7 linked regions of the Rattus norvegicus genome follow. The protein of the gene in region 1 interacts with the protein of each later gene in a pairwise test. Links are inferred from orthologs where the notes say so. Each region holds a gene or a part of one and is shown on either strand. Other genes may lie near its edges.

The links.
Region 2: the proteins of Ube2k (region 1) and Marchf3 interact in binary tests that used the Homo sapiens proteins (3 or more experiments, as listed by UniProt). The link is inferred for Rattus norvegicus from reciprocal best matches to the Homo sapiens genes UBE2K and MARCHF3.
Region 3: the proteins of Ube2k (region 1) and Mid1 interact in binary tests that used the Homo sapiens proteins (3 or more experiments, as listed by UniProt). The link is inferred for Rattus norvegicus from reciprocal best matches to the Homo sapiens genes UBE2K and MID1.
Region 4: the proteins of Ube2k (region 1) and Rnf32 interact in binary tests that used the Homo sapiens proteins (3 or more experiments, as listed by UniProt). The link is inferred for Rattus norvegicus from reciprocal best matches to the Homo sapiens genes UBE2K and RNF32.
Region 5: the proteins of Ube2k (region 1) and Dtx3l interact in binary tests that used the Homo sapiens proteins (3 or more experiments, as listed by UniProt). The link is inferred for Rattus norvegicus from reciprocal best matches to the Homo sapiens genes UBE2K and DTX3L.
Region 6: the proteins of Ube2k (region 1) and Rnf111 interact in binary tests that used the Homo sapiens proteins (3 or more experiments, as listed by UniProt). The link is inferred for Rattus norvegicus from reciprocal best matches to the Homo sapiens genes UBE2K and RNF111.
Region 7: the proteins of Ube2k (region 1) and Rnf41 interact in binary tests that used the Homo sapiens proteins (3 or more experiments, as listed by UniProt). The link is inferred for Rattus norvegicus from reciprocal best matches to the Homo sapiens genes UBE2K and RNF41.

The regions. Positions count from the first base shown.
Region 1 is NC_086032.1:43,069,371-43,073,670, reverse strand, and holds the start of Ube2k (ubiquitin-conjugating enzyme E2 K), read left to right. Parts: upstream 1-1,500; 5' UTR 1,501-1,668; coding exon 1,669-1,731; intron 1,732-4,300. UniProt on the Homo sapiens protein: Accepts ubiquitin from the E1 complex and catalyzes its covalent attachment to other proteins. In vitro, in the presence or in the absence of BRCA1-BARD1 E3 ubiquitin-protein ligase complex, catalyzes the synthesis of 'Lys-48'-linked polyubiquitin chains.
Region 2 is NC_086036.1:52,475,798-52,479,297, reverse strand, and holds part of Marchf3 (E3 ubiquitin-protein ligase MARCHF3), read left to right. Parts: intron 1-626; 5' UTR 627-682; coding exon 683-870; intron 871-3,500. UniProt on the Homo sapiens protein: E3 ubiquitin-protein ligase which may be involved in endosomal trafficking. E3 ubiquitin ligases accept ubiquitin from an E2 ubiquitin-conjugating enzyme in the form of a thioester and then directly transfer the ubiquitin to targeted substrates.
Region 3 is NC_086039.1:27,796,421-27,799,920, reverse strand, and holds part of Mid1 (E3 ubiquitin-protein ligase Midline-1), read left to right. Parts: intron 1-1,273; 5' UTR 1,274-1,329; coding exon 1,330-1,989; intron 1,990-3,500. UniProt on the Homo sapiens protein: Has E3 ubiquitin ligase activity towards IGBP1, promoting its monoubiquitination, which results in deprotection of the catalytic subunit of protein phosphatase PP2A, and its subsequent degradation by polyubiquitination.
Region 4 is NC_086022.1:6,881,177-6,885,362, reverse strand, and holds the start of Rnf32 (RING finger protein 32), read left to right. Parts: upstream 1-1,386; 5' UTR 1,387-1,474; exon of another isoform or gene 1,475-1,936; 5' UTR 1,937-2,003; exon of another isoform or gene 2,004-2,310; intron 2,311-3,247; 5' UTR 3,248-3,322; coding exon 3,323-3,337; intron 3,338-3,889; coding exon 3,890-4,154; intron 4,155-4,186. UniProt on the Homo sapiens protein: May play a role in sperm formation.
Region 5 is NC_086029.1:78,318,913-78,323,138, forward strand, and holds the start of Dtx3l (E3 ubiquitin-protein ligase DTX3L), read left to right. Parts: upstream 1-1,426; coding exon 1,427-1,610; intron 1,611-3,544; coding exon 3,545-3,792; intron 3,793-4,226. Other genes in the region: protein mono-ADP-ribosyltransferase PARP9, read right to left, coding at 1,245-1,497.
Region 6 is NC_086026.1:80,058,185-80,062,462, reverse strand, and holds the start of Rnf111 (E3 ubiquitin-protein ligase Arkadia), read left to right. Parts: upstream 1-1,478; 5' UTR 1,479-1,781; intron 1,782-1,845; exon of another isoform or gene 1,846-1,916; coding exon of another isoform or gene 1,917-2,194; exon of another isoform or gene 2,195-2,297; intron 2,298-2,951; exon of another isoform or gene 2,952-2,975; intron 2,976-4,278. UniProt on the Homo sapiens protein: E3 ubiquitin-protein ligase. Required for mesoderm patterning during embryonic development. Acts as an enhancer of the transcriptional responses of the SMAD2/SMAD3 effectors, which are activated downstream of BMP.
Region 7 is NC_086025.1:1,443,254-1,446,753, reverse strand, and holds part of Rnf41 (E3 ubiquitin-protein ligase NRDP1), read right to left. Parts: intron 2,282-3,500; coding exon 2,010-2,281; exon of another isoform or gene 1,983-2,009; intron 1,141-1,982; coding exon 1,005-1,140; intron 660-1,004; coding exon 556-659; intron 1-555. UniProt on the Homo sapiens protein: Acts as E3 ubiquitin-protein ligase and regulates the degradation of target proteins. Polyubiquitinates MYD88. Negatively regulates MYD88-dependent production of pro-inflammatory cytokines.

The sequences.
Region 1 (4,300 bases):
ATACCTACAACATTTCTAGATTTATATCATAGCAAAAATCCTTTGTAGTGTTCAGTTGTTCAGTATATAGTTGACGGTCCTTATAACCACTAGAGGGCTCTGCTATAAGATCTTTTATAATTTATGTCTGTCTACTCAGGGAAAGGCTTTGAGATGTTTCAGAATTTTGAACTCTTAAGTTTAAACAACCTCCTCATTTCACAGACGAGGGAACCGCAGCTGGCAACGGATATAGGAGAGAAGTGGGAGCACTCTTAGACTGGTTTCTCTCGAACTCATGATCCTCCTGCTTCTGTCTCCCAATCTAGGATTACAAGCCTATACCACTACATTCAGCTCGTATTAGTCTTATGATGGAATACTGAACTGATTGATTAGGTGAATACATGAAACATACTCCTAAAATAATACCTTCATTATTTCACAATGTTATTTTCAAAAGTATTCCTCAGCATCTACATTCCGTTATTTGTTTTAAACTCTACTAACCACTTTCAAATAGCCTCTCAACGTTGTTGCTCAATTAAAACATTTTACTCGGTCATCTTTTCTCCACTCAATTATATTCACTCACTGCTTATTGACATCTACGAGCGCCAAAAACCTTTGTAGGTCTAAAGTTCTTTCGGCCTTCTATTTCTCCAACTGTCACTATAAATTATACAGACTTTCACATGCTTAATTCAGCCATTCTCACAGCGTGGTCGCTGAAAAACAGGCAGCAGGGAGTTTGCTCGCAATGCAAATTCTTAGCCCCATCCAGACTCTAGGGATAGGTCCTAGTAATCTAACCAGCTCTCCAGGGATTCCGAGGTGCGTTCAAGTTTGAAAAACATGTTAGTTCTACAGCTCAGCATTGACTATCTAAACAGGTCAAAGATTTAACTTCTGGCTTTTAAACTCATCACAGGCCTGTCCCCGGCAACACCTGTATCAATTACAACCCGTGGGACGCAACCATTACACAACCTTAAAAATCTGTAATACCTGAGATGACCGAATAATAGTTGCGTTATCATGGTTCCAGAACAAAAGCTACGGCAGTGGATATCCCGGGGGTTTACCAACGGACGCTGGGCAGGACCCAGTTCCTGCATAGTTTTTTCCTCCGCTAGACACAGGGAGGCACCTCTAGCCCGTGGGTTCTGGGTCTGGCCGAGTTAGAGCGAGGCTCAGCCCGGCTGGGGCCCCGGGAACCCGCCAGGCGGGGCTCCCACCTCGGGTCCGTGGCTAGGGACTGGAGGCCTCACCGTAAAGGGGGCCGAGGGGCAGGGGAGGACCCCGCAGGCCCAAACCCCGCGGACCGGCACAGAAACCGCACCCTCCTGGCCCCAGCCGCCGGCAGGGCGGAGCCACGCGGCCGAAGCCCCGGCTGAGACGCGCGGCGCGGGCTCGCTGCTGAGACGTATGGGGCTACCACTGGAGCGGCTGCGCCGCCCGCCCGGGTCAGCGTGGTGCGCATGCGCGGACCCGGCGCCATTTTGGTGGCCGGGCGCGGAGGTGATTCTACACTGAGGGGGAACGCGACGGCAAGGGTGGCAGTGGCAGCGTTCGTGTGCTCGGGTCTGAATCACTGAGGGAGGAGGCGGTGGAGGAAGAGGTGGCAGCGGTGGCGGTGGTCGTAGCGGTGGCGGAGGAGGCGGGTACGAATCAGCTGCGGGCAGAGACATGGCCAACATCGCGGTGCAGCGAATCAAGCGGGAGTTCAAGGAGGTGCTGAAGAGCGAGGAGGTCAGGAATGAGCTACCGGACACCCCCATCTCAGCCCAGGGCGGCAGGGCCCTTCCTTCCGCGACCCCGGCGGTCCCAGCCGGCCTCGCTGCGGCCGCCTTTCTGCCTATGGGGAAGCGGCGGTCTCCCCTCCTCCTCCCGCCGCCTTTCCCTCCCCTCCCCGGGCCCTGGGATAGGCGGTCTCGCGGGCGGCCGGCCGGCCTGGGGAGGAACAGGGTTTGGGGGGCAGATGCCGAAGCACTCGTCCCGGGCACGTGAGCTCTAGAGAGAGCCCCGAGGCGGCGGCAACAACATCTGGAAGTGTGACTGTACGGTGGGGAAGGAACAGGCCGAGAAAACCCGGGAAGTGGGTTGGGGGAAGGGGAAAGGTAGTAACTAGATCCCCGGCAGCAGCGCACCTCACAGGCCCACGCTTTCAGGGGTACTGGGGATATTGCCTGCCAGGCCTTTGCTGTCTTTTCCTTGGGGAAGGAGCCTTCACAGTCTTTAGGTATAGACGAGAAGACTTTCAGTTGCTCCCTTACGGTACAGTGCTGGGGGATCTATGGAGACATAATGGGCATTCTTGAATTGGGAAGGGGTGTTGAAACAATTTTCACTATAGATAAAAAAATAATTCCAAATTAGATAGTCATCTCTTTTCTACGTACCCAGCCAGTAAGTAACTAGGCCTCCTCACTGATATTTAAAGCTTTTTGTCTAGTCAAAGGCAAGTTGTTTGTTAATTAAATGATTTGAAATAGGAAGAATAATGGGAGTGTGTGAGTAGCTTATTTCAAAATACTGTTCACCCGTATCAGAGAGGCTCTCCTAGGGTAATGCCTCTGTGACTAGTGTTGTACTGTGAAACTTCATTATGATGTCCCTCATAGTTAACTTGAGTCTTACTTTTAAAAAGAGGCCTATTAAAACCAAGGGATTTCATCAGATACACATTGTTGTAGCTCATTATTGAGTTAGGTTTATTTTTCTGTCACAAAATATATCAGGAAATAGCATATTTAAAAAATAAAACTCTGACTGCCTGTAAGTCCTGCAAATTTTAAGCATATTAATGCTTACCAGATTTATTTATGTGAAATATTGAAAGTAATAATTTTACTCTGCTATAAAAGTGCTAAATCGACAAAAATGCCAGTTTTTCTATGATTGAACTTAACAATTCTGAAAGTAATTATTTTTTTCAAGGTTCACAGTTTTCCTATTATGCTTGCTTGGTACTCTGATAATGTCATTAATGATTTTTAAAATTCGTCATTTTAAGCATATGAGAAATTGTTAGAAATCTTGTAGCTCTCCAGCTTTATTGTGCCCCCAAGCTTGCAGACAATTATCCATCGTTCCAAGTAGACATGAAGAAAGTCACTTAAAATTGAAGTGACAATGTTAGCAGCGTTAGTGAGCATACTAAGAAATACGTAGGGATCTGTCTTACGTAGCATGAACTCTGACCTCTGTATTCATTTGCCAAAACTCTGAATGGAAGGATGACTTTGTATTTTTGTGAAACAATGCAGAAACAATATGAATGACAGTATTCACATTTTTAATGGTGATTTATTTAAACTTTTTCTTTAATAAGCAAACTTAGTTTGGGGTCGTTGTATATTCTTATGTTGTTAACAACCTACAACATGTATTCTATAATAAGGTTGTATGGGTCTTTAGACCTCTCATGCTTTCTTTTATCTAAAAGTGTCAAGTTACTGCCCTGAAAATTGATATACCCTCTTTGCTTTGTGTGGTCTGACTTTTCACCATGGCATTTGGTGTTTAAGTTGAAGATTATCGGCATTTGTATGACTCTAGTAGTACATATTATTACTATTCTACTATTTAACTGATGGGCTGAGTGGCCAGCTCCATTTACTGTTCTACTATTTAATTGATGGCTGAGGAGCCTGATGACCGAGTTCAGATTCAGACCCACATGCTAGAAGGTTTCTCTTTGACCTCTACACCCAAGTGTGCAAATCGGATAAAAGCTCCTCCTCTGGTTAAAAACATTGTCAATGGTTCTCAGGAAGGAAATAGGAAATATGAGTTCAAGAATGGTGCCTTAAAAACCTAGCAGGGAATTCAGTTCAAGGAAGTAAGTTGCAAAGAATATTTTGGAAAAGATCAGATAAAATTTAATATTGTAAAAAACCACAGCCAACAGTTAGCTTTATCCTCACCAGTATTTTATTTCATTTCCCTAGATAGGTTGTGTTGATTTCACCTGAGTGAAGAACCCATAGTGCAGTCTACATATTTCCCTTTTAAGTGCGTAAATATGAGCTTTTTTTTTTTTTTTTTCGGAGCTGGGGACCGAACCCAGGGCCTTGCGCTCGCTAGGCAAGCGCTCTACCGCTGAGCTAAATCCCCAACCCTAAATATGAGCTTTTGAGTAGTTGGTCAAGTCATTAATTCACCGTGTCATACAGGTTTAATTCATTTGGTAGTGTTTTGGTGGGTCTTACAACTTGATTTCCTTTTTGCCTGTTTTAAGTGCCTTTGTAAAGATAACTGACCTGTCAGAGCACACTTTGATCCCAGCACGGGAGAAGCAGAGGCAGGCAGATCTCTG
Region 2 (3,500 bases), on another chromosome or scaffold:
GTGGCTTGCAAGGTAGAGTGTTTTATTACAGGACACAGATGTGGCAGAGCTTGAAAAGTGATTGAATGACCACGCTTGGCAAATGATGCCTCAGAATGTACAAGTTAGCCAAAATCTTTGCTTTTCCTTCCCTTTTCTTCTCCCTGGTTTTTAATCTCAATATCTCTGAATAAAACTGCATAGAGAAAAAATTGCTTACAAGAAAAAAATAGTTACGAGCAGTTTTAATAATGATTCTAGTAACTTTTAGAGAATGTCAACAAAGACTTATTGCATCTCTGGGGCAGAGCGGGAGGATTGCTTATCTCCTCTTCAGATCTGGGCTTCGGAGCGATCACTCTGTTCCTCCCAGAAAGCTGGGCTCCTGAATGTGTGTATATATACACATACGCTTGCTGTCTTGTTCATAAGCAGGTGTTCATAACTCTTGTGGCCTATGTGTCTGTGAGTGGGTGTGTGCAAATGTATGTGAGTACGCTCGTGTTAAATAGTAACAAGATGAAAATGCTACATCTAAGCTACCCTCATATTTATATTAAATAATGACATGCTGATGTCGGTAGCCCATAATTCTCCATTTTCCATTAACCATCCCGCCAAGTTAACTGTTTTCTGATCTCTCTTAGATGGAAGTCCTCTATGAGTGTGGAAGCCATTAACAGAGTAATTGCTGTCTGTTGCCATGACAACCAGTCGCTGCAGTCACCTGCCCGAAGTCTTGCCAGACTGCACCAGCTCAGCTGCGCCTGTGGTGAAGACGGTGGAGGACTGTGGCAGCCTAGTGAATGGGCAGCCACAGTATGTCATGCAAGTTTCAGCCAAGGACGGGCAGCTGCTGTCAACAGTAGTGCGGACTCTTGCCACCCAGAGGTAGTGCCACGGTTAAAAACGAATGAATCTACAATTGATCCAAAGAGCTGTTTGTCAGGTGGAGAATGCTAATGGGAGTGTAATTAGTGCTCAGGTCTTTGTGTCAGGAAAGAGAGGTGTTGGGGAAAAAATAATTTTAAAAAGACTACCCAAGTTCTGTTGCTGCTGTGTCCACAGCAGCAGGAGCATACAGCTAAAATTCATGTTGTCACGTTCCTCCTGAAGCCGCTATAGAGAGCAGGCAGGGAAGAGCCACAAGACGTGGGCCTGCTTTGCATTCGTCATTTTGACACTGTTGTGGCTTGTTTTGTCCTCGGATCTCCAGCAGCTCACAACGCTAGCCCTTTGTTAGGACAAAATGAAGACGTCGTCGTCTGATTTCAGGTGACGGAGTCAAAGCAATTTGTGGGATAGAGCTAAGGCCTTGAGTAGCCCAGGCTAGCCCCAAACCCACTTTGCAGCCGAGAATGGCTTTGAAGGCCGGATCCTGCGTCCGGCCCTTGCATACTGGGATTAGAGGCATGTGCCACCATGCCTGGTTCTGTAGCTAAAACTTGTGAAGTAACATCGCAGTGTGCATGCCGGTTATCGCTACCCAGTGGCTATGCTGTCTGGGCTGATCTCTGAGTGAGTCTCCTTTTGCTGTTCTGCAGCCCCTCCTTCACACTCTGCAACCCCATCCCTGCCTCTTCATGCACACTCCAGCCTGGGAACTACTGCTCTTTCAACTGGTTTCCCTATGTGCAGAAGAGGGAGGGCTCTGGACAGCCTGGAGGCCACTGATTCAGGCCAGCTCCTTGACCCTGCTGTTGTCCGTGGCGTATTAGGAGCTATAGGCTGCCAAGATAATGGAGGTACCACGTAGTCTCCAATTTTCTTTCAGAAAGAAAAAAAATCTTATATTTTCCTGGTACCCATACCAGGCCGTTCACAGCCTCCTATAATTCCAGTTCCAGGGAGGCTGACACTTCTGACCTCCTTAGGCAAGTACTCGTGTACACACACACACACACACACACACACACACACACACACACACACACTGTTAAAAATAATAAAATCAATCTTTAAAATGTGTGTCTGTCATAGAAAGCAAGGAAAGTATGTAATGTATATTTCCCACTTCTTGGAGAATTTCTAGCAATTGGTTAGGGCTCAGAACATAAAGAGGAGGTGAATGTCATTGGCCCTCTGTGTACACCAGCCATCCTAGGAGGCTCAATCAGTCACCTTATTTGATCAAGAATGGAAGGCTGTTTGATGTAACTGAGAGCGCTCTCTCTCTCTCTCTCTCTCTCTCTCTCTCTCTCTCTCTCTCTCTGTATGTGTGTGTGTGTCTGTGTGTGTGTGTCTGTGTGTGTAAGTGACTGACTGTGACTGTGTGTCTGCGTCTGTGTCTATGTGACTGACTGTGTGTAACTGTGTGTGTGTGGTGTGTGCCTCTCTTTCACCTACTCCTAGACCACACAGCACTGCACACCAAAGGCTACAATTTTTCCTGCCTATGACTCCAAATGAACAAAGGAGGCCAAAGGACAAAAGCCAGCTGCCACCTTTTTTCTCACCTTCCTCTCCCCAGAGCATGTAGGGTCTCCTGGGCTAGAGAAAGGACAATCCTGCCTGTCTCTAGCTTTCATTTACTCTCAGGGACATTCCAAGAGAAGCCTGTGTTTCTGTGGTTGGCTCCATTTGGATCAAAGATAGCATTAAAAAGTAATGGGGCATGGACGCAGGTTAGCATCATCTCTGGAGAACGTGGGAGAAAGAGAGCAGAGAGTGTGAAAAGAGACTAGGTTATCAAAGGAATGACAGCATTCTTTTAAAATGTCATTCATAGAGGGAGCTGGCCCCTCTCGTTGAAAAAGGAGGCTATCTTAATTTGATGTTTCCTTTAAGCGTACATGGTGAGGGATATGCTACTTGGTTTTCCTTGGCCCGAGTCATTCTGCAAGTGACAGTAGCTAGCATTAACAAGGCTTGGCTGTCTGCCAGTCCTCTATATGTAAGTCTCTGCTCTAGACCAACTTTTTTACACCCTCGCAATCACAATACAGAAGGCTCCACTTCTGAGCCCATTTTAGAGATCAGGAGACTAAAGTATGGGGAGATGAAGTTACTTCTTCAAAGCTTACAGACAAACCCCAGAGCTTGGGTTTGAGCCCAGGCAGCCAGATTGCAGAGCTGGGGGCCACTCACCATGCCAAGTTCTCTTCAAGAAATGTGAGCGAGTGGCTTTTCCACACTTGAATGCAGAACTCTAGACAGAGGCCACCTCACTAGACAACTTTACCACTTGCCTTCAGTATAGTGTCTTCAGCGTCCCAGAGAGTATCCTCCTCAAGCTCCAAGGACCAGCCACACCTCAGCATTGTGCCCCAGTCTACTCTGCCTCAGAGTCTGTGACCATTTTATTCCCCTGTTCTTGCTCTCCTGCAGAACTGAAGAGAAATGACAGGGACCTTGCCTGCACCTCCTTCTGACTCAAAATATGCAGTTTATCTAGATACTACAATTGATGTCATTTCAAAAGAGTTTGTTTTGGGGACTAAAATGATGACTCAAATGTTTAAAACACTCATTGCTCTCACAGAGAACACAGTTTCAGTTCCCAGCAACCTCATGGTGGCTTA
Region 3 (3,500 bases), on another chromosome or scaffold:
GGGCTGCTGCTAATATGCCAGGCAGAATTCTACAGTCCTCTCTACTAATGGCCTGGAAAGGGAGAAGGTTCAAAAGAGGCTTAGTTCCCAGGCCTGCTAATGAGCATGAGGCCTCTTCACCCTAATGAACTGGTGCTTGTGTGGGATTCTTTATCATCTCCTTTTGAAGGGAAGGCAGGCAGGAGTTCACAAAGCAACGAGGTATTTATGGGAAAGGAAACGTTCAGCTGGGCCACCCGAAGGTGGCCTGGAGGGGAGCAACAGAGCTGGCAGAGGTCATGACTGGGCCAGCAGGGTTGTGAGTGTGAGACAAAACCTCTTGCCAGCCAGACCTGTTGCTGGCAACAGTGACCAGCCTGAGATAAGATATTTTGGGCCAAATGGGGTTGCACTGGGGTTATTGTTACAACTTATCAAATGTATGTGATAATATTACTTATCAGCGTTTCAGCCTTCAGAAAGGCTACCACATAGTTTTCTAATTTCTGTCTGCATCCCAAATCCCACTTCTGGATTAATCAATACACGAGCAATGAGCATATGCCAAAAATATTGCCTCTACCATGAGCGTCTTGTGAAAAATCCATAGGTTTTATCCTCAAGAATGTCTTGAGCAATGATGTTCTGAATCTAAACATGATTTTTTCTTCTGAAATGTATGCATTTCAGTTCATATATGCTTCATGTTCATCTCTATAACAAGTACATCTGTACAATTGAAAATCCTGCCCTGCCGTTACAAACTGATAGTCTTTGAAAATACGTATACATTAATATTCACGCTCACAAATTCAGAGTTGTGAATGACATTATTTCATTAACAAGTTTTTGCATTTTAATGAAAGGGAAAATTTGTTCGTGATGTAAGATTACTCTGATCGTACGCCAATTATAGAGGCTGCAGTTTCAGTCACTTACTAGATTAGAGTTAGACCTTTTAAAGCCCAAAGCTGTAAAAACTATAAACAAACAGCAATAAACATTACAAAAAGAAAGCTGCCACTTTCAACAATCAGAAATTTGAGAAAATGATAGGCTCCTGTTTTATTTTGTTTTGTTTTTTCTGTTTGTTTTGTTTTGTTTTGTTTTTATCATTTGCCCCCAATAAAGACAGATGTTTGGAACATACACATAATTTCCCTTCCATGACCTGTGTTTGGAATTACTATGAGATGCATTTGAAGCTGACAGCCCCAGTCCCCTCCACCCCCACCCCCCCCACCCCTGCCCGCTGACCCCTCATGCTTAATCCAATCTTACATTCTGTTTCCAGATAGCTGATCAGCTTCCTTGGATTTTGCTGATGACCCCGGAGAGTTTTGCCTGAAGATGGAAACACTGGAGTCGGAGCTGACCTGTCCTATTTGTCTGGAGCTTTTTGAGGACCCTCTCCTGCTTCCCTGTGCACATAGCCTCTGTTTCAACTGTGCCCACCGCATCCTGGTCTCTCACTGTGCCACCAACGAGCCTGTGGAGTCCATCAACGCCTTCCAGTGCCCCACCTGCCGGCATGTCATCACGCTCAGCCAGCGAGGTCTAGACGGGCTCAAGCGCAACGTCACCTTACAAAACATCATTGACAGGTTTCAGAAAGCATCCGTGAGTGGGCCCAATTCTCCCAGTGAGACCCGCAGGGAGCGGGCCTTTGACGCCAACACCATGTCTTCTGCCGAGAAAGTTCTCTGCCAGTTCTGTGACCAGGATCCTGCCCAGGATGCTGTGAAGACCTGTGTTACTTGCGAAGTGTCCTACTGTGATGAGTGCCTGAAAGCCACTCATCCGAATAAGAAGCCCTTTACAGGCCATCGTCTGATTGAGCCAATCCCGGACTCGCATATCCGGGGGCTAATGTGCTTGGAGCATGAGGATGAGAAGGTGAATATGTACTGTGTGACCGATGACCAGTTAATCTGTGCCTTGTGTAAACTGGTTGGGCGGCACCGCGATCATCAGGTGGCAGCTTTGAGTGAGCGCTATGACAAATTGAAGGTTAGTCCGATCCGCCTTAAGCCAACCCCTTTCTGCCAGCAAATGTCATGGAAATAAGAAGTGTATTCACTGCTAGCTACATGGCAGGTGAAGGATTTCTCTTCACCTTTGTTGTCTGATTAGTTGTAGCATGTTTTTGGCAGGATATAAATGTTACACAATGAGGGTATCTTGTAAAAGTTGACTGCTGCTTGTAATTTTAGTGTTGTCAAGGTGAGGGCAAATTCTAAAATCTGGATCATTTTCAACTCTTACTGTTTTCTGGATCATTTTCAATGTCTGCAGTTGTTACAAAGAGAGGAGATAGAGACAGCATGGGGCAGGAGAAGGAACGGTGAGAAAAAGAGAAAAAGGAATATAAAAAAATCTATCATTTGAGCATTTACAGACATTTATTTTCTTCACTCTTGCAGGAAAAAGTAATTTACTCACATTGGACCTTTATCTAGTTACTATACAAACAAAAGACCAGAAAGAAGAATGTGTGTAGCAAATGTCTGTACCAAATGTGGGATTTTAGAGGACATGTGACCTCCTTGTGTAAATGATATTCAGCTTATTGGTGAACTATCATGTTCTGACAGTCTCGGGTTTCATGAAAGCATTCCTGCCTGTATAAGCTTCTTTTATTCAGCCAGTTTACAGGCAAGACTGTCTGAATTCCATCCACTTCTAGTATGAAATTATCCAAATTACAGCTTGGGGAATAGTAATTAACATGGTTATATGTTAAGTTAAAAAAATACTCTCTAAATAAGGTTAGAAAGCTGCAGGGAAGAAATAAAAAAAAGTCTCCTGATGTCTATTCAACTTCGGTTGACAGTGGGCCTAATTATTGCAAACATGACTGAGAGAGTTTGTGTGAAGTATTATGTTCATCAGCTAATTTTTAGATCACAAGACACTAATTAAAAGAAAAAGAGGTATAAGTTAAAAGTGCTAAGTAAATATATACTGAAGTCCCTCCTCTCAGGAAAAACAGAGCAACTTGTTGAACAAACAAAATTAATCAGATGATCCAAAGAGTATCATTGCTCAAAGAATAACATCACCTTTAACAAACGGTTCCTATTGCCTTCTCCTAATGCTAATGACTGCTTATATTTACTTAGGCTACATAGGTGATTTCACCATGGTGAAGATTAACGAACCACATCTGGGATTCAGCGTTGTGATTGTTTGACACAATGAGGGAACTTGACATGCTAAGGGAAATCCCTGCTTCTAAATGTGATGAGGGAAGCGAACGCAGTACACGCACAGATCCTTCACTTCAAATGTCCAAGGAACGAGTGGCTGCAATCCATCTTTTTACCATATAGGGAAGTTTGCCACAAGAATGTAGGTAACACAGTCAAGGGAGGATAGGCACACATTACATTTTCCTGCATTGCCCAGCGGTAGAGAAAAGTACCACCAACGTGTTTGACAGGGAAAAGGAGTGTGCAGGAAATTACAACAAAGTCAATCGTTCAAAATTCCAGATAGCTGTTAGCTTGTGTAATCTGAGA
Region 4 (4,186 bases), on another chromosome or scaffold:
TGGCCACATGTTCAGTCACAGAATAATGTCCTGGGCTACTGTTGGGGTAATTAATAGACATCCCAATGACAGGATGCAGCAAGGCCCCCTTGAAAACAACGTAAAGCTAGCTGCTAAAATTCAGACATCCAGAAAGTAAGTGTAGATTTAAACTCAGGTCTAGCTAAAGGTATCCAAAAACTTTTCCCTCTTAAACTTCAAATAAAAACCAGTCTTAAGACAGCAAAATGGTGGACTTAACTGCTCTCCTAAATACATCACTCACTAAAACATAAGCTAAGATTATACTATGTCTAGAAAGCACCTGAACCACCACGTGAAAATTCAGAACTTAAAACTCATTGTGAATTTGACTTTTAAAACAGTTGGCCTGCTTTTAATCTGCTTTTACAAGCTTCAAGTAGTAAGAGCCAATTCATAAAGTTCATTGCCAAGAAAAAAAAAAATCTGTAACTTTTAAGTGAGTTTAAAATTATATTGTTCCAGAGACTTATCGTGTATAACAGATTTAAATCGACTTTTGGGACTTTTTAGTGACAGAAAACCAATCTCACAGCTCAGTAACTTCTGCAGACTTTACTTCATGGAGGACCTTGCATTCTCGTGTTTTCTTTGCACTTCCAGGTGAATTGTATACAATTAAGATGCAGCAAAGTCACTGTCACGACAGGCAGAAGAAAATCAATACACTATTTCTGCTTGGCACCAAGAAGTGAGAGACTTTTAAAGGACCCCAGGGGTTCAAGCCTGGTTCATCGGACAGCGCGGGGGTGCATATTCAGAGGGGTAGGAGATGGCACAGAGTGCAGAAGGGCTAGGTACCCTGCAAGGTCAGTAGCCACAGGGGCAGCTCTCTCCACCCTCACCTTCAGAGAAGCCTTGCCTAGAGCTAGGAAGACCACTGGAAGGGGCGAACGTGAAAAGGCTTTCACCCGGCAACACAGAACAGGCCACGATTACCGGGAGCCATGGCAACCATCATGAGGAACTGTAGGAGGTCGAATGGCGACGCCACAGCGCTCGCAAAACAGTCGAAGGGGCAGCTATCAAATCTTCCGACTGAGGGGACGACTGAAAGCCCACTACAAACAGCCGCACGGGTCAGCGCATCCTCGGGTCACACAAACTGGCCAGGGCGCAGCGAAAAGACGCCAAACATCACACACCGAGGAAGAGGGGTAAGAGCCCGCGCACACCACACCACACGCCCAGGGCCCGCGCCTCAAGACAGCGTAACCGCACCAGCGTCCAGACGCTGACGACAAGTGACAGGCGGAGCCATGACGTAAAGCGCGGGTGCAGCAAGCCGCTCGCCGCCGGTGAAACTGAAGGGACGACTGCTCAGCCGAATGGGGGTCAGGGGTGGGGGACCTACGAGCATGCGCACTGAGGGTCAGGCGAAGCCGGCGCGCGTGCGCACTCCGAAGCGCACCGGCCGCTAGTTGCCGTGGCAACGAGGAGTGGATCTGAAAAGGTGCTTCGGAGAGAAGAGGAAGGGCCAGTGTGAGTTTGTCCTGCAGCGCTGTCCGACAGAAAAAAAGCTCTGGTTCATAGAGAGGGAGAGAGGGCCGAACGCGGGTAGTGTTGACGCGGAAGGTGCGGGTCGCTGTGGGCGGTCCGCGGATCCTTCCTATAAGGCACAAGGCTGTGATGTGGCGAGGGACCTCAAACCAAACTGGGAGAGTATTTTAAACTTAGATGCCGTCTCTCCAGTGCATTTCTATTGACGCATGTATTAATTGCCTTCTGATCACTGAAAGCAATCGGTGATTAAATGGCTTGTCGTCTAGTCCTGTGTTTTCCTACCTGGCACAACCTCCTAACCGTGTGCAAACTAATTACAGTCAGTTTGCTGTTGTGGCAATTAGCGTCAGGCAGAGGTTTATTTCTCACCTATTGCCAGTCCAACGGGTCACCATTATGTTTTCTCATACAGTTCGACTACATCTGGCATGTTTCGTTATTTTTTAAATCATACAATTTGCTAATGCTATGTGACTTTAGTGAGGCACAGTTTTAACGCTTTTTACCTTGACATTAGTCACAACGGCACAATACAAATCTGGTGAAATTGTAGACCAAAGAGCTACCTACTGGTTAACGATGGTATGAATCTTGTTAAAAAAAATAAACTATTTTTATGATGCATACTTGGTCATTGCCAAGTTAGAGGCATTTTGAATTTGGAAAATAATAACAGTGACCTTTCAGTAGTTTACATGCCTTCCTCCAGCCAAGGCTACTGTAAGAAATACTGCATACAAACTTCTTTCATAGATCTCCATGCCAGCAATGAAAAGGAGCAAGAAGGTGAGCACACTGAAAACTGTCCTAGGCTTCCAAAGGATCTGAACAGCACCTGGCTCTCTTCTTCCCATCTCACACATGAGTTCCTGTGGGACTCATTTTCCTGTAATTTTTTCAAGTGTCTGCTGCAGTGCTAGGGGTTGAACCCAGGGCCTAGTGTATGCCTGAAGGTGTATCAGCTGCTCTGTGAGCACCTTTCTGAAAGCTAGTCCCTCAATACTATTCCGTTAGGTTGCTTTTGAAAAGGTGCCTTTTCTCTCCACTGTAGAATATCATGGTCAGCATGGTCTGAAAACTAAAAAGGTCAATACCAAATACATCCCCCCATTTCTGAGGCAATTGGAGCAACAGTAACCATTTATGAGTATCTTGTGCAGAACAGTCCCTTGTAAGCCCTTAAAGAGGTTTCCTTTTGTATAATAATCCTCAAACCTCAGCATTTTTGTGTTTTTTATAAAACTGAGCTGCAGATCCTTAAGTAACTTACCATAGGTGGGACTCAGTGTCTGCCACCGATGTGCTGGCCAGGTTGAAGGAGCCAGCGTGCACCATATACCCACTTCTTCATTGTTGCCCTTCTTGCCAAACACAAGCACAGCTGCTTTGGTGGGCGTCTCTGCTCTTGCTCCTGCCATCTAACACACACATTTCTCTCTTTAAGACTTGGGCTAAATGTTATCTTGAAGGATTGTTCATTTACTTTTAGTGTCTCATTTTGTTCTAAGACTTTGTTCTAAGACTCCATTTTTGCTGCTAGATTGTTCTTTATAGTGGAATTCTTTCTAGCACCATGGTAAGCTGTTTGAGGACAGGGATGAATTGGGTTATGACTGTGTAGATTGGACAGGGTGGCTCATGCTCTGTGGCTGGCATCACTGTTACCATTTCCATAGCCCAAGTAGATCCAGATGTTTACACACACTCTTGCTTTCTGTTTCAGCAGAAAAAAATGGAAGTTATTGTAATGGGATGCTAAAGATTGTTGAAGCCTCACCACGGTGTTTCCTGATACAGCATGTTAAAAAATAAGGTATCCCATCCTCCTCAGAACTGACACATGTTTGTATTTGTGCGGTGTAGTCTAACTGGACCTTCTACAGGTATAAAAATAGTTTACAAACCTTGTGTTCCTGGGAAACTGTGAGCAGAAGTGGAAAGTGCATGTGATATGGGTAACAGACAGTCTCTGGGTGCTACCTGCATATGTCTCCTGCCTCAGGGACCTGGTCCTGTAGGGAATGTTTTTTAAGTTTTCAACAGAGATCTTTTACTTAAGAGCAAGATCTCCTTTTAGAGTTTGCCTGGAGTCTAATTTAGCCATAGCAAAGCAGTAGCATCTTATTTAGTCACACACAGGTTTGAATTTATTGGTTTATAATTAAGGCTCCAGTAATTAAATGAAAAGGTTTCCCTTTACTTCCATTGTAGATGTTGGGCCTGGAGTTTGCTCTGATTAAATATTGCCCTGGCATTCCTTCCCACTGACTTGGTAATCTGCCATCAAGGAGCAACAAGGCCTGAGTTTTCTTCTAAATGATGTTACATGCTGTTCCACTAAATAAGCACCGCCCCCCTTTTTTAGGATCGTTCATCTAAAAAAAGTAACTTAGCAGTCTCTGCAGTTGCCTTACAAGACCACATATTACGTGATCTTCAACTTGGACATCTCTCAGTAGCAGATCCTTGTAAGACAAAAGTGCAAAAGAAAGAGAACAAATCACAATCTCTCAGAAAAGGCTCGGCAGCCATGATGGACACTGGACTTAGAAAGACTGCAGAGGGGCCTAAAGGGGAAGATCCAGAGAAGGAATATGTTCTAGACCCCACACCACCACCGTTAACTTTAGGTAAGCTAACCTGGTCTCTTTTCCTTTGGCTT
Region 5 (4,226 bases), on another chromosome or scaffold:
AGGAAAGTGCTGAGACCAGGAAAAACGTCGAAAGAACGGCCTTCTCAACAGTGGTGCTCCCCCACAGCGTCTCGGAAGACAGAAGAAACTGCTTGAACCTGCACGGGGTGCGTTCCCCTGAATCTGTTAGAAACAGCTCTGACCTAAGGGTGTCTGGATGAAAACCTGAAGCTCTGGGAAATTTTACTTTTTCATGATTTTAGCCTAGTAAGCTAATACAACTAAAGATTATGAACTGTTAGACTCACGACTAAAACTTACAATATCGTTATCTAAAACCGTTGCTATCACTGAGTCTCTGGGCTGATCTATAATGTCTTTGCAATAGAAAAAACTGGGTATAGCATCAGAGTCCAGTTAGCCATGCACATTGAGGAGTAACTCGAATACCGAAACCGCCCGATCGGGATCCGCTGAGCCTCCAGAGGGCAGTGTTGCTTTCATAGAAGAAAGACCTCTAAGGTTCCTTGGAGGCTGCTCATGGGAGTCTGCTCTGGGGTGCACTTGTCTGTTTTGAGGAGAGCAGACAAAACTCAAAACTTCCGTTTTCCTGGTCCTTTTATATAGGCTGCTACCAGGAGGTGTGACCCAGGTTTAGGGTCGGTCTTCCGGTCTCAAATGACCCAATCAAGAAAATTGCCCCCAAGCACTATGCAGCTAGCTAGGGTTTTAGATGATTCTAGACGCAGTCAGAAGGACAACCAAGATTCCTCTTCCTCTCCCTGGCCCTGGAACTGAACCCTCTGGACTTCAGCTCTACCAGCCAAGGAAGGATACTTTCCTCCCCTCCCCCACCCCACCTTAAGATTCCGCTTGAAACCAGCGCTTTGACTTTTGCTTGGTTCACAGGTACTTATTGCTTCTGTGCTGAGTGCCTCTTTACCTCACTCTCTAGGAAGCAAGTAGATCTGTGCTATTCGCTGACTTAAGGCCCCAGAGCAGAAAATCCCTAAGGTGCCCATCTAAAGGGGAAAGAACTGGTGATAGGTCACCAAGCAGGTAAACTCCCTCCACTTGAAATCAGAATCGCATCTCAGTAAATACCAGTTCTAATACTCATATAACAAAATCATATAACAAAAGCACAAACAAGTGAAACTCTTTACCCTCTACTCCGCTCCACCCTTGGGAAGCCTGAGGCTGAGAACCCGGTTCCCGCCACTCTTCCGTTCCTTCAAGAAAAGAAGGCGACCTGCCACCACGGGGCCTCTAAGCGCCCACCGCCAAGTATGCGAACTACTCACCGGGTGATGGCCCTGGCCGACTGCAGAGCAAGAGAGGCGGCGGCTCTGCGGGGAACAGGGAGGGACCTCCCGGGAAACGAAACTGAAACTTTGCCTCTCGGGTCTCTGGGGCAGGACGCGCCTTCTCTCTGTCCTGGTTGTGCAGCACCCCTGAGCCCCAAGCGAGCCAGACGCAGCCAGCCATGGCCTCCAGTCCGGACCCGCCGTCCCCACTACTCGTAAGGCTGCCGGAGTCCATCCCCCGAGCGCACATGAAGCTGGAGATATATTTCCAGAGCCGGGCCTCCGGAGGCGGGGAGTGCTCTGTTCATCCCGTGGGGCCCGGCGCCCCGGACACCTTCGAGGTGAAGTTCCTTGAAAAAGCAGGTGAGCCGGGGCAGGGGAAATAAGGCTCGGGTGCAAAGGTGGATCCAACAGGTTTCCAAACCGACCCCTGCATGCTTCCGAGGAGAGTGTGGCTCTCTCTGCCTGTGGGAGAGTGCGGTCCACAGACTCCTCCATCGCTCAGTGGCAGATAGAGCCTCAGATGAGTCCACCCGCAGACGGTTGACTCCATCGGAGAATTTCCCAGCAGACCCAGTTAAGAAAAGAAACAAAGTGTGGGGGTTGGGACTGAGAAGGAAACCCAGAAGCTTGTGCGCACTAGGCAAGTGCTCCACCACGGGTCTGGACTCCAAGCCACTTTCCTGTTGTAAATAATGATCTCATCGATGTGTTTTTTAAGGATTACAAAAGTAACATACGACCACTTTAAAAAGGAAAGGCAAATGAAAACTTAATTGAAGATTGTTTGGTTTTGGTTGGTTTTAGAGACAGGGTTTCTCCCTGTATCCCTGGCTGTCCAAGAACTCGCTCTGTAGGCTGAACACAGAGATCCTCCTGCCTCTGCTGGGATTAAAGGCATGCGGTGCCCCACTAATGTCCCCAATGAAAGCATTTTCATGCATTCTTTTTCTGAGTCAGCTAATGCATATACGTTCTAGACTTTTGGATTCTTGGGTTTTTTTGGGGGGGTCCCCACTTAACTATGCAATAACTATTATTCAACGTCATTGAAATAAGAGACTCAAAACTATTACAAAACATAGGTTTCCCTCCCACCCCCACCCTTTGAGACAGGATCCTGCCGTGTACCACGGATTGGCTTTGAATTCATGATCTCCCCCCCCCACACACACACACACCGCTACCTCTACCATTTAAGTGCTAGGACTGTGGGTGTGTACCAGCATGCCCAGACTAGAAACGTGGTTTCTAATAACCAAGTTATATAATATGGTAAAACTTAAGCTCCCTACTTTGAAGTTCTGAATAGCTTCTCCCATCAACAGCCTGCTGTTCCAGAATATGCCAGAAATAACTGTTCACGTCCTCTGTGTGCATCTGACAAGGGGCCTACAACAGATACTGCAAAGGTCCAACTTGGTAAACCAATGTGTTTATTGGGGTTACTCACAGGAATATGGGAAATGACTCAAAGACAACTCTATCGCCAAAGCTGACCTAGCATGGGGGGCAGCTCAGGAAGCTGGGAACCTGGAGCTCACTGTAGAGCCTGCAAGCAGGCTCCTGAGCATATCCCTTCCAGGTGCCTCAGCTGGTGTAAACCTCCTCCAGGGAGCTTAGTGTCCACCTTCTGCAGGTAGCTTCTCTAGTGTCAAAGTTTTCTTCTCAGCTTGGCTTGTCCGAGAGTCTCCTATGCAGATCTTCATCGAAGCTCTGTTCTTGGAGTCTCAGGAGGACTCTTCCCAACAGTCTTTATTGCTTACTCTGTCAGGGAGGGGCCTATTCAATTTCGGGGATTTCCTAAAGCTATTTTGAGTTGTTTGCCTTCTTGCTTAAGGAACTTCTCTGCAGGGTAGAATGTTTCAATCTTGGGGAAATTTACGCAACAGTTCCACACTCTAGGGTTCACCCGTAGTGTTTAGCTTGCGTGAAGGATTAAAAATTCATCTAGAAATTCTTAAAAGTCTCTGTGGGCAGTGGTGGCACATGCCTTTAATTACAGCACTCTGGAGGCAGAGGCAGGCAGATCTCTGTGAGTTCAAGGCCAGCCTGATCTACACCGGGAGTTTCAGGGCAGCCAGGACTACCTGGTGTCTCAAAAACAAACAAACAAACACAAAAGCATAGGGGAGAGTATGCGTAGCTTATGTGAAAGCCCTAAGCTTGTTAGGGATATCGCTGAAGGTGGTGTCCTCGGACATTTCTGGAATCAACCTAGAGGGACCCTGAGGGTCATTTCTGTAAATCCTCTCTCATTGCTGTGTGAATGTATGTGTTTAATGTCTCCCCTCAAGATAAGGAGAATGTGTTGAAAAGGGGAAAACACAAGCTGTTGGTTGATGACAAATCTGTGCCTATTGTCCTGGAAACTATTAAAAAGCCAGAAGAGGACCTGAGACCCAGACCTCCATCACTGACACAGCCAGCTGAGACACCAAGCTCCCGACCTCCGTCCTTGACAGAGTCCCTGGATGAAGCACTGGGTGATAAGATACCCAGTGATGGGCCCGTTTTTAACTCTGTTGACTCAGTTGTCCAAAAGGTGAGTGCTGACAGAGGAGCTGGGCTGCTCTGGGGTCTGCTTCCCCTCGGGGTATTCAGGCAGTGTTGTGCACAGGTAAGAATGAAGCTTAGTTGGAACAGGTAGATTATCAGGATCTCAGTCAGCCTGAGTTAGGGAGAAACAGCCTTCTCTGGACATGGGTTTCAGTGAGACATCCTTCTTGTTACACTGGAGAAGGGTGAACAAGGCTATATAAACCTGAGAAAGTAGGTAGGAGTTTGGGGGGGGTGAGTGTCTTCTTTTTATTTTATTTATTTGCTTATTTTTGTTTTTGTTTATGTTTTTTTTTCAAGACAAGGTTTCTGTATATAGTCCTGGCTGTCCTGGTCACTCTGTAGACCAGCGTGGCCTCAAACTCAGAGATTACCTGCCTCTGCCTCCTGAGTGCTGAGATTAAAGGCCTATGCTACCAC
Region 6 (4,278 bases), on another chromosome or scaffold:
CCTTGATAGCCTATTAACCCAAACAAGTAGAAATATTACTTTAACATACAATCAATAGTAAAAAGTATTGGGCTTTTCACATTTGTGTACTATAGTTCTGAAAGTTGATGTAGTTATTGCTTTATTTCAAGTGTTAAAAAGTCATATGTGGCAAGTCTCTCCACATTCTTATTAAAGAATGCAGGTCAAAAGATTCAGGAAAACAACAACAACAACAACAACAACAACAACAACAACAACAACAACAACAACAAAAGAGGGACAGATACAGAGTTTTGAGACATCATGAGTCAGTAACAAGTCCCGGGCGTCCATAGTCTCAGTCTACTTGTAGAGGGCAGCAATTAGGGACGCTAAGGAAATCTGAATCCACTATCTTCCATTTCCTCGTCGTTTATAATTTAAAAATACTCCCAGCACTTGGAAGGCAGAAACAGGTGGATCTCTTTTGAGGTCAGCCTGGTCTCCAAGAGTGAGTTCCAGGACAGCCAGGCTATTGCATTAATTCAGGTGCAAGCGCTCTCTCTCTCTCTCTCTCTCTCTCTCTCTCTCTCTCTCTCTCTCTCTCTCTCTCTCTCTCTCTCTCTCCAAACCAAAAGAACGACCTTCTTCACTAAATATGGAGAACATGAGTGAAGAAAACTATCAAGGAGCTGATGTATAGGGAAAGGATTAATGCTTGTTAAGTACTTAATTGGTAATATAAGGTACTTTATGTAAATCGTCGTATTTGACCTCACAAGGTCATTTTGAAGCATATACCGCTATCTTGGTTTATAAAGAAGGAAAATGAGATTTGTAAAGGTGTGAATAAGTTAGCTTGGGCACCCTCACTCTGCTTTCTCACCGGAAGGCTGTCTGACTGCAGAGCCCATGCTTTGTCCTTACGTCTTTCTAGGGCACATAATAAAACATTGCAATTTTGTGTGTGTGTGTGTGTGTGTGTGTGTGTGTGTGTGTGTGTGAGAGAGAGAGAGAGAGAGAGAGAGAGAGAGATAATTAGACGTCTTCTGCAATTGTATAGCCAGAGGTCCCAGGCTACCTAATACTACGCTTGAAATGATTCTGGAAATTAACTTGAATTCACTTTCAACAATGAGATGAGATCTCTGTTTTGGGTATCATCTGCTGAGAAAAACACTAACCCATGTTTTTGGTTTAACAGCACGACAAGTGCAGTCAGTAAGCTGAAATAATTTTTAGTTAGAGAAAAAGTAACCAGGATGTAGGCGGAATTATGTCGAAGTACTGTTGAGTTCGAAATCACGGAAGAAAGTGAACGCAATCAGCTTATTTTTAACTTCGTTCCACTGGGCCAACAGTTCGCGAAAGCCAATGCAAAGAGGAAGGACTGGGACGCAGTGGGGCGGGCAGGGGCGGCCGCAGGTTCGCGCATGCGCAGACATGCTGCTGTGAGAGGGCGTGAGGGTTCGACGCGCTCGCTTTCCGAACTGTCGTAAAAGGCCCCCGGTGTCGCGCTCGCGCAGTCGGGGAGGGCCGGCCCAGGCTGCGGCGGCGGCGGCGATGGTAGCGGGGCGCTGGGGCTGCGCGGCGTAGAGACGCCGGCCGTTCAGGGTCGCGAGCGCGCGTGGGCCGCGATCGGGTGCTCCGAGCCGGGTCGAGCCGAGCCGGGCGCAGCCTCACATTCCGCGGCGGCGGCGTTGTCAAACGCCCTCCTGAGGACAGCCACCCGGCCCGCCTCAGCGTCACCCGGCCGAGCGCTGTTCGCCAGCCCGCGCCAGCGAGTCCCGGACCTGGCCGCACGGGGCCTGCGGACTCGGGTGAGGGAGCCGGCGGAAGAGGGGGTGCGGGGGAGGGGAGCGGCGCGGCGGCGCTTGCGCGCGGCGGGGGAGGGGCCGAGCAGTAGGGAGAAAGAGGAAGGGCCGCGGCGGGCGGCCGGGGTCGGCGACAGGGGGATGACCGCTGGTCTCGGGTGGCGCGGAGTGGCTCATTGTGTCCCGGCGACAGTCCGCCCGCGGACACACCCACAGCCTCTTGGGAGGGAGTGGGTGAGGGGATTGCTCCCTGTGGCCGCCGCTCGCCAGCAGGACGGGGGCTCAGGGCCGAGGAGTGGGGGTGACAATGGAGTGAGGAAGGTAACCCCGGCCGGAGCCGGGAGCCGCCCGGTGCGGGCGGGCACGCGCAGTCCGCGGAGCAGAAGACAGGCGCGTCTGATATTGTGTGGAGTTGGCTGGTTAGTCATTAAAAAAAGATGTTTTCTTTATCCTGCCTAGATAATTGATCGGAGTCAGCAGTGGTGCGGTGGAAATATCGGGTTTTGTTCTGGAGAAATAGAGGTTTGTCGCCACACTTCCTAGATTATAGAGCTTTATAGATAATGTTTTAAAACAAGTGTGAGTTTTTAGGGTCAAAAAAAAAAAAAAAGAATACCAGGAAGTCATAGCGTCTTCATTTAATTTGCTCGTGTCTGTAGTGTGGGCTTGACTCCATTGTATTGTTGAGAGCTTTCCTGTTCCTTGATTTATGTACAGAGTGAGTTTAGAACTCCTGAGTAGCAGTGAGAGAGCCAGCTGACAGACTTCATTGTAAGAGTTCTGAAAGCTCTTGAACCTGCCTTGATCCAAACTTTATTTCGTTTGGCGTGTTATCTTTAATTTTCTTGTTTTGGGGGACCTCTTTAACCAAAAAGAGCAGAATCGGATAAAAGATGAACAGAGGTTCCATATCCTTAACATTTGTCTTTGCAATAACTATCATGCGATTCTGACTTTATATAGATATTCTTTCCATAATTCTGATTTTACTTAGCTTTATCAGGATGAATCTACATTAAAAAAAAAAAACCAAACAAACCCAAAAATTCTTTGTATGTGTATATGTATGGGTCCTTACATGTGAGTGCAGGTGCCTCTGAGGACAGAAGAGGATCTACTACTCTGGAGCTGGAGTTAAGGAAGGTTTTGCACTGCCCTGTGTAGGTGCTGAGACCCGAAGTTGAGTCCTCTGCCAGAATAGTAAGCACTCTTGACTGCAGACCATTTCTCCAGGTCTGGATTTACATTTTGTTAGTTTGTTACTAAGTGGGTTTTTTTTTCTTTTAGTAAAAATGTTTATGTAGAAACTGGTAACTGTAATATTGTGTTACATTGTGACATAGGTTATAAGGAAGCTCTTCTAATTTGAAGAGAAACAAATAATTTAGCTTTAAATATTACTTTTGTAACAGGAGTGCTGGGTGTGAAGGCTCAAGTTGCCTTTAATCCTGATATTTGGGAGGTAGAGGCTAGACCCTATTTTAAATACCTACCCCCAAATTATGTATATTACGTTTGATACTCTCTTAGGGTGTGGCCATGGACAAATCATTTCATTGTATCCTGTTTGCTTGTAACCTAAGATTCCCTGTAGCATTTGAAAAAATTACGGAGGACATTTGTGAGTTGGCTGAATGATATTGGGGAAAACTAGGGAGGATAGTTTTTTCTTAATGGTCAGGGTTGAGTGTCCTATGTGTGTTTTCTTTTGTTATCTTTCCATCTTGGTCTCAGTGTATTGGTCACTTGTATCCCAGATGTTTCAGTAGAAATAGTTTCACTAGAAATAGTCAGTCTTCAGCTCTGACTTGCTCAGCCTCCTGAGGAGCTGGGACTGAAGGTTTCTGTCATTGTACTTGGGTCTAGAGACTGTACTTGAAGAAAGCTATAATAAACATAATTAGGTTTAATGAAGAATGTGTGCTAGCTGGGGTTATATTGAGCACGTTGTTTGTTTGTTTGTTTGTTTGTTTGTTTTGGTGCTTCGTATTTGTGAGGTACTGAGACGTGGTTCTACTGTGTTCTAAGAGAACAGCAGTTTACTTGCATAAAGCCAAGGAGCAGCACATTTTTCAGCAGGTACATCTGAGTACATTTTTTTTTTCAAGTTGAAAATATGAAATAGAAAACTCATTGTATCAAAACATTTAGAGCTTTAGGGGCTGGGTATTTAGCTCAGTGGTAGAGCGCTTGCCTAGGAAGAGCAAGGCCCTGGGTTCGGTTCCCAGCTCCGAAAAAAAGAACCAAAAAAAAAAAAAAACATTTAGAGCTTTAAGTGTTAGAAATGCCATGGTAATAAAGGGCCCGTGGTATTGTGCATTAAGTATAGCTTAGGTATATGTGCCCCTGCCTTTACCCCAACCCCAAGGACTGGGACCTTAATACAGGGAAATAGACTGACAGGACAAACAAATTAACATTAAGATTTCTTAGATTTGTATAGGTGTAGTGTGGTTGCTGTACATTGGATCTATGAGTTTATTGTTAACCTTTCCTGAGGTTA
Region 7 (3,500 bases), on another chromosome or scaffold:
GACTTTCTTTCCAGTATTGGCTCAGAAAAGCCAAATCCTTCTCTAGTTGGGCCTGCTGTTCACGTCACTCACCCATACTCCATCCCCGAGTCTAGACTGTTATCCTTTGAAATCCCAACAATGCATGGTGCCTACCACACAGCAACCACTAGACTATCCTGAATGAAGAAATGTCTTCTACACTGTGGCCCTCAGACCCACTCCTCTCCACTTCCACACTCACAGTCTGGTACCCACTACACAGGCCTTCCGAATGGAAAGAATCTTATACTTCCCATGTTTACTTGCTTGGTTTGCTGGGTTTTGGAGACTGTCCTGGACGTCACTCTGCCCCTTCTCCTCTGAGTGCTAAGCTACCCCACTTGATCCTGAGGACCCCAAAGCTCTTAGAACATGCTTTGTACATGATGGCACTCAGCTAACTCTGGACTAATTGCATCCTCAGGCAGGATTCCCTGCCATCCATCCCAATGAACGAGTCTGCACTGGAGCTAAGGGTTTGCTCTTCTCTCTGGCCCTGCCCTCCCTCTAACTCTAACCCTGAGTGGAACTCACTCAAGGATCTCGTTGTACTCGATTGTCTCCTCCAGGTTCTGAAGGTTGGGGTTGACACTGCGGATGGCTCGCATATACGCCTTCAGCAACTGAATGTCTCGCTTCTGTTGGGTGGGAACAGAACCAAAGAGGACGCTTAAGCCAATCAGCGGGTCTGAGAATGAGCTGCCTGGGAGATCTGAGGAACAGTATTGTGTAAGTGTCTTCAGGAAGACAGGGAAAGACATAGCAAAATGGCTTCATGAAGAAGGCACTCCACATGTCAGATGACCGAATGGTTGAATGGGATGAAGGGAGTGAGGGAAGACAGATCCAACTGATTCTCTCCTGAACTGTGGACAGAGCAGGACACAGGCTGTGGCTGGTGCTCACGGTGGTATCTGGGGTGGGCAGGAGGTTATTTACTAAGGTGGACACGTCCCCTCATCCCCCTCGTTTCCTGGGCCCACCTGTTCTGCCAGCTGGTGCTTGTGTTCAGCAGATGTCTTCTCCAGCTCTGCGATGCGCGTCTGCTGCTGCTGGACCACGGAGCGCAGGTGCTTAATGCAATTGTGGTTTGGCAGCTCATCTTTGGGCATCTCCAGGCTGCAGTTCAGAATGAGACAAGAGCGGAACAGACTATTCAACAGGACATTAGAGGCTCATGGCTCATTCTGTGACAGAAAACTGCTGAGTGGCTTTCTGCGACTCACACTCTTAACAATCTTCCCAGTCCTTCCTTTCTTCGCTTTCCTGTTCCAAACATGCTCCTTGCCCTTATACAGAACTGGCACCCACACGACAGCATTGTGAGGGCCCGCCAATAAACGCCTCGAGACAAGGTCTCGCTCAGCACAGACTACCTTCCAGCTGGTGCTAAGGATGACGTTGAGTTTCTGCTCTCCTTCTCCACCTTCCAGTGCTGGGACTAAGGGTGTGATCATCACCATTGCCCCACAGTGCTCGAGACAGAGCCAGCTCTGCATACTAGGAAAGCTCTCCACCAACTGAGTAAGCAGCACACGCCCTACCCCCTCCACAGACTGTCCTCCTGTGCCCTTAGGGGCAGCCTGAACTAGGAGGGGAGCTGCTGTGTCGCTCCGGCTGCTCTGTGGGCATCCTACCGCACACTCCTTCATGAGGAGTCCTACTCCACTGCGCAGAGCACCAGTGTTCAATACTTCCCCCCTCACCACACCGGCAGCAACAGGCACAAGGGAACATGAAGGTGAGAGACTGGCATAGGTGACCTGGCCTGACAGAGGACATTGGTCTGGAGAGAAAATAAAGCACCTCAATGTCCAGTGCCACCAGAGCTCACTGGACTGCTGTCCTCTTCACAGTTGGAAAGTGGAGCTCTGTGGGCAGGCGGGCGGGCACGGAGCCCAGGAGGTCGGGGGCGGGGGGGCCCTTGCCTACAGGAGTGCAGTGACAGCGGGAAGGCTCGCCTGCATGAGTGGAAGGAGGAGTCTCACCCGCAGCCCTGCTCGCAGGTCACAGGCCGCTTCGGGTTGTGCTCACAGTCACTGAGGTGGGACATGAGGCTGTCAAGCCTGACAACAGCACTGCAGCCAAACACAGCGTTGTCACAGGCAATCTGCAGCTTTGACAACATGTTCCGCATGATCCGAGGCACTGGGCGCAGGTGGGCAACCGTGACAACGCTACGGTCTACCGGACACGTCTGCTGCTGAGAGAACCATTGGGTGATGCAGGCGTTGCAGAAGGCATGCTCACAATGAGGCGCCTAGAAGGGACACAGGGAGTTAGCGAGAGCTGAGACCCTGGACCCAGGAGTTACGAGGCCGGCAGTGAAGCCTGCAACCAGACTCTGGGGGCCCACGGTAAATGACAGGTGAGCGTTTTCAGGTCAGGTACAAGACTTGTTTCCTGTGCTCAGGGGCAGAAATGAGTTGAGACAAGACAAACAAGCAAAAGGTTCTGTAACAGTAAGAGACACACCGTCCGCTCCAGGTCAATGGAAAAGAGGACACAACACTAACACTAACAGCCAGCAGGATCGCATACATGATAACTGCTACGTAAGTCCAGAGGAAGATGAGCTCTGCAGGCAAGGGTGAGCGCAGCAGACCCATATGGAGATAGGTGTGTTCTACACACAGGGCTTCGAGAATGACTCAGACACAGCTTACAGCTGGGCAGAACCTCACTAACCACAACAGAAGTAAGAGAGAGCAAGGGCTGCATGTGGCCCTGCAAGTCGGTGTCCCCAGTTCATAGGCTGAGGAGGAGGTCGTCTTGTAAGCACCTGCCCTAGACGACAAGAGCTGCCTCAGAAAACAAAGGCAGCTGGAGAGGGGACTCCCAGGTAAGAGTGCTCACCACCAAACCGGATGAGGTGAGTCTGATCCCTCGGATCTCCGTGGTAGGAGAGAACTGACTGCTGCAGACTGCTGAGCTCCATATGTCCCACAGACTATGTGTGTATTCACGAGCACGTGTGCACGCTGAATGAGTATAAGAAGACCAATCCGGGCCTGCTGTGCACACCTCTAAGCCCAGCACTTGGGAGGCAAAGGCAGGCGCGTTTCTTTAAGTTCCATGGCAGCATGGTCTACAGAGTAAGACCTTGTCTCAACAAACAGTCCCTCCAAACTCTCAAACAAACAACTGGGGGCTGGAGAGACCCCTCAGCAGTTAAGAGCACTTACTAGTTTTCCAAGGATTGAAGCTAAGTTCCCAGCACACACAGCAGCTCATAACAATCTCTAACCAGTTTCAGAGAGTCCAACAGTTCCTTCTGATCTCCCCAGGAACGTACACACGGCATATTCATCCCCCAGCCCTTTCTTATCCACACGTATAAAAAAATAAAAATCTTTAAGTATTTTTTTTAAATGAAAGAAAAAAGACCCAACAACAAGCAAGGGGAACTGTGGTGAGAGGTTGAGATTTCTCTGTGAAGACTCAAGTTCCGTCTCTCTGCGGTCTGTCATGACCTTTCA